Canis lupus familiaris: one gene and its partner. The protein of the gene in region 1 purifies or fractionates together with the protein of each later gene. This does not show direct contact. Links are inferred from orthologs where the notes say so. Each region holds a gene or a part of one and is shown on either strand. Other genes may lie near its edges. The genes, in order: FBXL13 and CETN2.

Region 1 (4,572 bases):
TAAATGGCATTTAAAAAAATATTTTATTTATTCACGAGAAACAGAGAGAGAGAGGCAGAGGAACACGCAGAGGGAGAAGCAGGCTCCATGCAGGGAGCCCCATGGGGGACTTGATCACAGGACCCCGGGGTCATGACCTGAGCTGAAGGCAGGCGCTCCACCACCGAGCCACTCAGGTGCCCCAAATGACTTTTAAAAAGCTAAGTAACCGTCTTGCCAGTTTACATGTAAGAAAGTCATTCTTAGGGGCTTTTGGGGTCATCTATGTGAAATGTAAACATCAAAAGATGGAGCGCAGACCCCTAAGTTTAGCCTTGGCGCCTGGCTCCACGTGGTAACCACCTGCTCATCATAAAGATCCCGAGAAGTCTTATTTTCCTCTGGATCAAGGCAATTAGCTAACAGCGATAGCCACCCCGATTACCAGCGAATTTAGGATGGACTCTGTGTGAATGGTGCTGTCAAGCCCTCTTGAGGACAAGTTCCTGTTTATCTTCAGAACATGCAGAGATGACACGAAACAGACTTTATCCGCCAGATACACGAAGTGAAGACACGTGTGTCTTCTCAATCCCATCAGCTGATCGCCTGTGATGGGCACGGCAATCTGGAGTCGCGCTTATTCAACAATAAAGCTTTAGTTCTTTCCTCCATTTGTAGGGAGGAGTTTCTTGGTTGGCATCCGTGACCCGCACTATCCTAGAACACCCAGCAAATCCTCGGAATCCCGATGCACCACCGGCTTTGGGGCAGCAACCACCCCGGCGCTGGGTCGCGGGGGGTCGCGGGGGGGGCGCCCCCAGCTCCCCGCGCGGGCAGCTGCTTCCATCCGCGGCCCCGGGACCTCCGCAACCTCGTAACCGAACCGCAGGGAGTCCCCGGGCCTCCGCGCCGCGGCGGGGCCCCCGCCCTCCTTCCTCAGGGGCGGCCGCAGGCACCACCGCACCTTCCGCGGCGGGTCCTGACCCTGAGGGGCAACCCACGCGCTTCTGAGAAACCACCCAATCCTCCGCGGGGACGCCGCCCTCAGCCAGGAAAATCCGGGCGTTTTTACCCCGGGATTTTGGACGAGGTGGACGCAGGCGGCAGCTCAGAGCCCCAGCGAGGGGGCCGTCGTCCGTGCCCCCGCCCCCGCCCCCCGCCCCGGCCACCTGCCGGGCACCCCGTGGCCTCACCTGCCGAGCGCGAGGGGCGCAGCCGAAGCCCGCGGGCGCCTCGCCGCCGGCCCCGCGCCAGCTTGTAAATGTAGTAGCAGGCACCGGCCCCGAGGACCAGGCCCGCCGCCACCCAGCCCACGTCCCGGGCGCCGCCCATGCTGCCCTGGGGCCGGGGCGCTGCGCTGGGCCTGGCGCGCGAGGCGGGGAGCCGCGGATCCCGCCTCAGCCCGAGCGCCGGCGCCGGGAGGACACAGGAAATGGGGCCCGAGCCCCGCCTCCCGGAAACGGCCCTGCTGACACGGAGGGACCGCCCACTGCGCCCCGAGCGGCCCGGCGGGGCGGCAGGGGCGGAGCGGGGGCGGGGCCGGAGCGAGGGGGCGGAGCTAGGGCGGAGCTCCGCGAGGAGGCGCAGGGACCGCGCGCACCGAGGGGACTCACTGGGGGACGCGGTCCCCGTCCAGAGGTGGGCTTCCCCTCGCTCCCGCCCGGGCTCGGGCCCGCCTCCACGCCCGGCGGCTCTCCTCGGCTCCCGGCGGCTCCCGGCGGCTCGCGGCGGCGGGGGCGGGGGGCTCCGGGGCCGCGCCCGCCCCGCCCCGCGGTTGCCAGGGCAACGCCGGGACGCGCTAGCGGGCGCGGGGCGCGGAGTCTGGGGGGCCCCGGTCATGGCCTCGCTGCGCACCGCCGACTCCCGGCTGAGGAGCTACTTCAAGGAGAATTACATTCCTCAGGTGTGCGAGGTACTGGAGCCCGCGGCGGCGGCGGCGTTAGAGCAGCGGAGCCCGAAGACGTCCGGGAGGAGGGGCGGGGGTTGGGCCCGGCCGGGAGCCGGGGGCGGAGAGGGCAGGCGGCGCGGCGCCCGGGGCGGACCGGCTCGGAGGCCAGAGCACGGGGCGCGGGGCCCGGGACAGGAACCGCGAGCCCCGCACTTAAGGTCTGGGCAAGAGGCCCGGGGCCGCAGGAGGATGCGCAAGTGGTCGGGAGAGCGAGCGGGCAGCGGCGGGCCCCGGGGGAGGCGGAGCCTGGGGGCGCCAGGCGGCAGGCCCCGACCCCACAGCCCGACCCTGCCTGACCAGGGGCCCCTCCCCCCGTCGTTACAGCAGGAAGGACTGGAGAGGCCCGGCGGGTTTTGTAGGTTTGGGGATTAGGAAAGCAAGACCCGGTGACTGCCATTTTCTCGACAAAGATTTGGTGAGACGTATGCTAAGCCGTGCGTGTTTGCGCGGGTTTGGAGGCTGCAGAAGGGGTCTGAGCAGAGACACGTGTGTGGAGACTGAGGGGGAGAGAAGTCTGGGGAAAGAGACGAGGAGAGCCCGGCAGCCCTGAGAGCCCAGCTTGCGAAAGTGACTGCTGTGCACTTGGGAGGGCAGTTCGGTGCAGCCTTTTTGAATGGTTAATTTAAATTTATTAAATGTTGACTACATATAGCCTTTGACCAAACATTTCACTTCTAGGGATCCACTGGAGAGATAGGCTTTCACGTGTATCCAGAAAGCTGTCCGAGGATATTCATTATGGTGAAAATAGTAAATAACTTCTATATGAATAAGGGAATGAGATAGTATATAAAGTATGTGTATACCTTTTGAGAAGAAAAGCTCTCCAAGACATAGTTTAAAAGAAGAAGAAAAATGCAAGTTGCCCCAGAAGTGTCTCCTACAATGTAGCTACTGTGATTTCCTTTTTTTTCTTATTTTAAAGATTTTATTTATTTATTCACGAGAGACTCAGAGAGAGGCAGAGGGAGAAGCAGGCTCCATGCAGGGAGCCGGATGTGGGACTCGATCCTGGGACTCTAGGATCACGCCCTGGGCGGAAGGCAGGCACTAAACCGCTGAGCCACCCAGGGATCCCTACTGTGATTTCCTATGTCTGTGTGTAGCGACGTTTAAGACAATAATAATGCATGCATAGAACATATGCAAAACTATTAATAGCAAATGTTTGGGGGGAATGCTTTTAGGAGAGAACCCTAATTTTCTTTGCTGTGTATACTTGTGTATTGTTTTACTTTTTTTCTGCTGAGTCTCATTCATGTTTTACTTCTACACGATTATATTTCAAAATATGTAGAGAGCATGGCACTCATCTTCCCCAGGGTGTAGTTTTTCTTTCTTTTCTTCTTCTTTTTTTTTTTTTTTTAAGATTTTATTTATTTATTCATGACAGACACACACACACACACAGAGGCAGAGACACAGGCAGAGGGAGAAGCAGGCTCCATGCAGGGAGCCCAACGTGGGACTCAATCCCAGGTCTCCAGGATCATACCTCAGGCTGAAGGTGGCACTAAACCGCTGGGCCATCAGAGCTGCCCTGGTTTTCCTTAAGTAGCAGTCAGTAAACCCAATAGAGGTACAGAAATAAGATTGACTTCATCCAGGAGAGGTGTTGGCCAGGCATATAGTGTGGAGGGGCAGCGGGGAAGGAGCTAAGCTTTTTAGGGTACCTGAGTGATGGGCCAAGGGACTGGGTATGAGGTGAGAATGGGACCGGATATGATACATGGGTAGAAAGTGGAGGTTCCTAAGGAGTAAAGAGGATTAGCAGGAGTAACTGAGTGTGGGAGCTGGAAAAATAGGAGGGTAGGGGTCCGAAAGTGGAATATTTGGGTTTAAGATTTAGATCACTCAGAATAGCTGCGATGACCCTGTCTTGGTTGGCTGTGAGATACATAGCAGAAAGTGGGCTCGAGCTGAGGGTCCGGGAGCATCAGAGAAGTGATAGCCTTTCCTCACCTTGCTCTCCACTTCCCATAAGCTGGTAGAGGCATCCCTGGTTCCTCCTTTGGGTGAGAGCACCCTAGCCCACCAGCCTACCACATTGCTTTGCTCCCAGAGAAGGGGAGCCCTCAGAAGTGCCCTTCACTGAAGGCGATATTCTCATGAGCCCTTCCGTCACTTCTGACCACGTTACCAGCGGGGCAAGAGAGCAGGCTTCTGGGAGCCCCGCTCCCTCCTTAGCCTGGTTACCCACTTCCCCTAAAGGACTATCAGGATGAACCCGTTGAGCCTCATATCCCTACACAGCTACTCATCTGACCCGATTCAACAGGACTAGCAATCCTCTAAAACCCATCTTCGGCAAGCTTTGGAATACATACATTTTTTTTTTTTTTTTTTTAAATCAGGACTTCCCTGCATATTTAACCTCGTCTGAATTTCGCCCGCCTATCCTGAATAAAACCTGGATGTCATTTCCCTGCAAACCCCTGCATAGAGGCTGATTTAAAGAAAACAAACAAACCACAAAACACAACCCTGCTTGACTTATTGGGTTACTGATTCTATTGATTGATATTTTCCATCAGTTTTAGAAAATTTTTGATCATTTTCAAATAATGCTTCTACCCAATTCTCCTTTCTCTTTCTGGGACTGCAATCGTAATTATGTTAGTTTTTCCCCACCCCCTGCTCTG
Region 2 (4,526 bases), on another chromosome or scaffold:
AAAGCAAAAATAAACTATCGAGACTACATCAAAACACCAAGTTTCTAGAAACAACCAACAAACAGCAAAGGAAACAATCAACAAAACTAAAAGGAAATCTACAGAATGGGAGAAGATATTTGCAAATGACGTATCTGATAAAGGGCTAGTATCCACAAATATATAAAGAACTAATACAACGTAAGCACCCCAAAACAAATAAACTAATTAAAAAATTGGCTGAAGACATAAACATATATTTCTTCAAAGAAGACATTCAGATGGCCAACAGATACATGAAAAGATGCTCAACATCACTCATCACTAGGGAAATGCAAATAAAAACTACAATGAGACATCCCCTCAGCTGCCAGAATGGCGAAAATCAACAACACAAAAAATAGCAGGTGCTGGCAAGGATGTGGAGAAAGGGGAACCGTCTCCCGGTGTTGGTGCGAATGCAACCTGTGCAGCCACTGCGTAAAACAGTATGGAGGTTCGTCAAAAAATTGAAAATAGAACTACTCTCATGATCTAGTAATTGCACTACTGTTACTCAAAGAACACAAATACAAATTCAAAGGGATACATGCACACTGATGTTTGTAGCAGCATTGTTCATGATAGCTAAGATATGCAAGCAGCCCAAGTGTCCATCAACAGATGAGTGGATAAAGGAGATGTGGGGTGTGTGTGTATGTGTGTGCGTGTGTGGGGAATACCATCCAGCCATAAAAAATGAAACCTTGCCATTTGCATTGACATGGATGGGGCTAGAGAATATTATGGCAAGTGAAATGTCAGAGAAAGACAAATACCATATGATTTCATTCATATGTAGAATTTAAGAAACAAAATAAATGAACATGGGGGGGGGGGTGAAGAGAGGCCAACCAAGAAACAGACTCTTAACTACAGAGAACACACTGATGGTGACCAGAGGGGAGGTGGGGGGGGGAATACGTTACATTGGTGATGGGAAATAAAGACTGCACTTATCATGATTAAAGAAAACAAAAGAAATTTAACAGAGTTTTATAAAAGAACAGTCTCCAGGCACCCCTCACACTTTCAAAACTCTTGTGTGACTTTGCTCAGTGTCTCCGCCCGAGTGGGTGTCAAAAAGTACATTTTGATGACCTCTCCCCTCATGCTCAGTCATATCTGTTTCACTCCCTCAAAACTCCCCCTCAAAGGGAGAGCCTCAGCGGGATTCGGTTTCTAAGTCGCAGCTGTCCACACCTCCTCGACACTCCCATTCCCTTCTCTGGCTCTGCTGTCCCTTGAGCACAGTCTCTGCTCTGACCCTCAAGGTCACGGTCTTCTCTGGCCCCTCTTTCCAAATTCAGTCTTAAGCCAGACCAGAAAGCCCCCAACCGGAAGGCCCCACCCAGCCCCCTACCCTCCCACCCAGTAGCGGATAGAAGGCAGCCTCCGAGGGTGAGGTCGTGACCCTTACCCGTCCGTAGGCGACCCCCCGGCCAGCCTCCGCGCGCCCTCAGCTTGCACCCAAAGGCCTCGGGCCGCTGGCGGTCACCCTTTTCTCCCCACCAGCATGAGCCGAGGATCGGCCGAGATGCCTCCGCCAAGGGGATTGGCTCAGCTCGGCGCCGGCTCAGCCAATCGGCGCTCACAATGTGATCCTGTCCAATGAGGCCAGGCCTCGGCTGTGAAAGCACAGCCCCCTTGCCCTGGGCCTGGCCTTTGTCCGCTTAGCCCCACCCACCACGGCTCCCCGCCAATGGGGAGCAGCGGCGGCGAGCGGGCTGCCAATGGGGAGCGGAGCCGCGCGCGCGGGGCGGTGGGAAAGGCGCCGAGTCAGTGTGTACGTCGGTTGCCGTAACAACGGTCCGCGGAGTCCATCGGCAATGGTGAGTGGGGGCCGCCCTTTGGTGCCCCGCGGCCAGGGGCTGAGCCCTTCTCAGGCTTCGTGTGGCCCTGCCGTCGCTCCCGCGCCGCTCTCGGCTTTGGAGTGCCCCTACTTCCTCTCGGCTAGTTCCCGGAAGGGTAGGGTAGAGACGTCGGCCGCCACCTGGGCCTGCGGTCCTGCGCCGCCTCCCCTTCGTTCAGTCTGCGCCCACCCATCCCTCGGGCGCGCGTGGCCTTCCCCTGCCAGCCCCCGCGTGACTGCCCCTGGTCAAAGAATACTCGGGTTACCCGCAGGCTCTGACCTCTCAGACCCTGACCTCCTGGTCGCTTCGTGCTACCAAAGTTTACCCACAGACCTGGGAGGAGGTTTATTATGTTTGATTGTTAACGTGCATTCTGAATAAATACAGGGATCTTTCGGGAGACGTTTTGATCTAATTAAAGTAGGCACAGACCTGCCTAGTGGATGGAATTTTATTATACACCTTAGCAAAGTAGTAATATTGGGCCAAATGTAGAAGTAATCACAAAGTTGGAGTACAGAGAGGAGGAATACTGCGAGCCAATGTTGTAAGGGCTTTTCTTGAATTAGGATCGCCAAATTCAAGGACAGCTGATCATCTGTACAGTTATCCACAGTCAGCTCCTTGGCTGGATCTCTTTGGGGATGATTTTCAATAAGAGATGTGCAAAGGAACACGGGATCTCCTTGCTTCTACAAAGAATAGGAAAAAAGAAGGAGGGATAGCGGTGCACGGAAAGATTGTTGTTTCAAGTAAAGCCCTGTTATCTCTCCTATTAAGCAAAGCTGTGGAATTGCTTGGTGTAAATATTTTATGTAAATATTTGTAACTATTTTATGTAAAATATGGATTGCATCACTTAATATCGTACTTCTGTGTTTGTAAAACACCTAAAGGCCTCTAACTTTAAGAAGGCAAGCATGGCATCATCTGCCCAACGAAAAAGGATGAGTCCTAAGCCGGAGCTGACTGAAGAGCAGAAACAGGAAATCCGGGAAGCTTTTGATCTCTTTGATGCTGATGGAACTGGGACCATAGACGTAAAGGAACTTAAGGCAAGCCCTTTACATTCCCACTGTACTGCCTTCCTTTCCTCTACTTCTTTCTCTTCTTTCCTTGTCACTGCTCTACCCCTTTTGCCCTCTTTTCCCTGCAAAAAGTTTTCCTGTTTTTCTCTTCTCCTGTCTTTATTTACCTCAAGTGTTATAAAATAAAATTGAGCACAAATATCAATCTGCATAACGCTATAGTGTTTCCCAGTCATTTTAACATGATTGTGTCAGATGCTGGCCTCATGCTCTCACTGTCATTTTTGTTCCTGCCAGGTTTTGATGTGCATATTGACATGATCCTGTTTTCATTGTAGGTGGCAATGAGGGCACTGGGCTTTGAACCCAAAAAAGAAGAGATCAAAAAAATGATAAGTGAAATCGATAAGGAAGGGACAGGAAAAATGAACTTTAGTGACTTCTTGACTGTGATGACTCAGAAAATGGTAAGTTACTAGGATAATCAGCCTATTTTCCACCCATATTGGTGAACAAATTTGAATCTAGATATAAAAATGTCTTCACTGAAGAAAGGTTAATACCAACTGGAGGGTTCTGCTGAAAAAGGGCAGTACTTATGACTGACAGGATGCTTAGGTTCTATCTGGCTCTCTTCAAGGCCACAGAATCACAGGAAAAGTCAGTTTACCCTTTGAGTAAGAGAACTGCTGTCACTCTTTTGTGATTATTTTTTTCCAACTGATGTGTTAACGTGCTGACCACAAGCAGTAAAACCTGTAAACACCAGCAATATTGCACTGCCTGACAATATGAAATGCCTATACTTTAAAGGTCAAAATTCTTTTCTCTCTCGTTTCTGATTCTGGGCGGCTCTAGCCTGAGGGCGGGTGACTTCTGACAGCTGTGTTTTCCACTACACTGGGAATTTGGCCTTTCAGCACTTTCATTTTTTTTCTTTTTTTCTGATTTTATTTTTTATTTTTTTATTTTTATTTTTTGGAGTTCGATTTGCCAACATATAGTATAACACCCAGTGCTCATCCCGCCAAGTGCCCCTCTCAGTGCCCATCACCCAGTCACCCCAACCCCCCGCCTACCGCCCCTTCCACTACCCCTGTTCATTTCCCAGAATTAGGTGTCTCTCATGTTTTGTCACCCTCACTGATATTTTCACTCATTTTCTCTCCTTTCCCTTTATTCCCTTTTGTTAACTTTTATATTCCCCAAGTGAATGAGACCATATAATGTTTGTCCTTTTCCAATTGACTTACTTCACTCAGCATAATACCCTCCAGTTCCATCCATGTTGAAGCAAATAGTGGGTATTTGTCGTTTCTAACGGCTGAGGAATATTCCATTGTATACATAGACCACATCTTGTCTATCCATCCATCTTTCGATGGATACCGAGGCTCCTTCCACAGTTTGGCTATTGTGGGCATTGCTGCTGTAAACATCGGGGTGCAGGTGTCCCAGCGTTTCACTGCATCCTTTCAGCACTTTCAAGGTTGAAGTCACCCATTCCCTAGTGCCTCACTTGTCCCCATTTTATTTTTTAAAATTTTATTTATTTATTCATGAGACACACACACACACACACACACACACACACACACACACAGAGGCAGAGACACAGAGGGAGAAG

The links.
Region 2: the proteins of FBXL13 (region 1) and CETN2 purify together in Homo sapiens (affinity purification with mass spectrometry; 3 studies listed by BioGRID and IntAct, counting the BioPlex papers as one, with this or other methods). This does not show direct contact. The link is inferred for Canis lupus familiaris from reciprocal best matches to the Homo sapiens genes FBXL13 and CETN2.

The regions. Positions count from the first base shown.
Region 1 is NC_049239.1:17,297,407-17,301,978, forward strand, and holds the start of FBXL13 (dynein regulatory complex subunit 6), read left to right. Parts: upstream 1-1,766; 5' UTR 1,767-1,819; coding exon 1,820-1,894; intron 1,895-4,572. Other genes in the region: ARMC10 (armadillo repeat-containing protein 10), read right to left, coding at 1,176-1,314. UniProt on the Homo sapiens protein: Substrate-recognition component of the SCF (SKP1-CUL1-F-box protein)-type E3 ubiquitin ligase complex.
Region 2 is NC_049260.1:122,023,800-122,028,325, reverse strand, and holds the start of CETN2 (centrin-2), read left to right. Parts: upstream 1-1,711; 5' UTR 1,712-1,751; coding exon 1,752-1,850; intron 1,851-2,767; coding exon 2,768-2,926; intron 2,927-3,237; coding exon 3,238-3,366; intron 3,367-4,526. UniProt on the Homo sapiens protein: Plays a fundamental role in microtubule organizing center structure and function. Required for centriole duplication and correct spindle formation. Has a role in regulating cytokinesis and genome stability via cooperation with CALM1 and CCP110.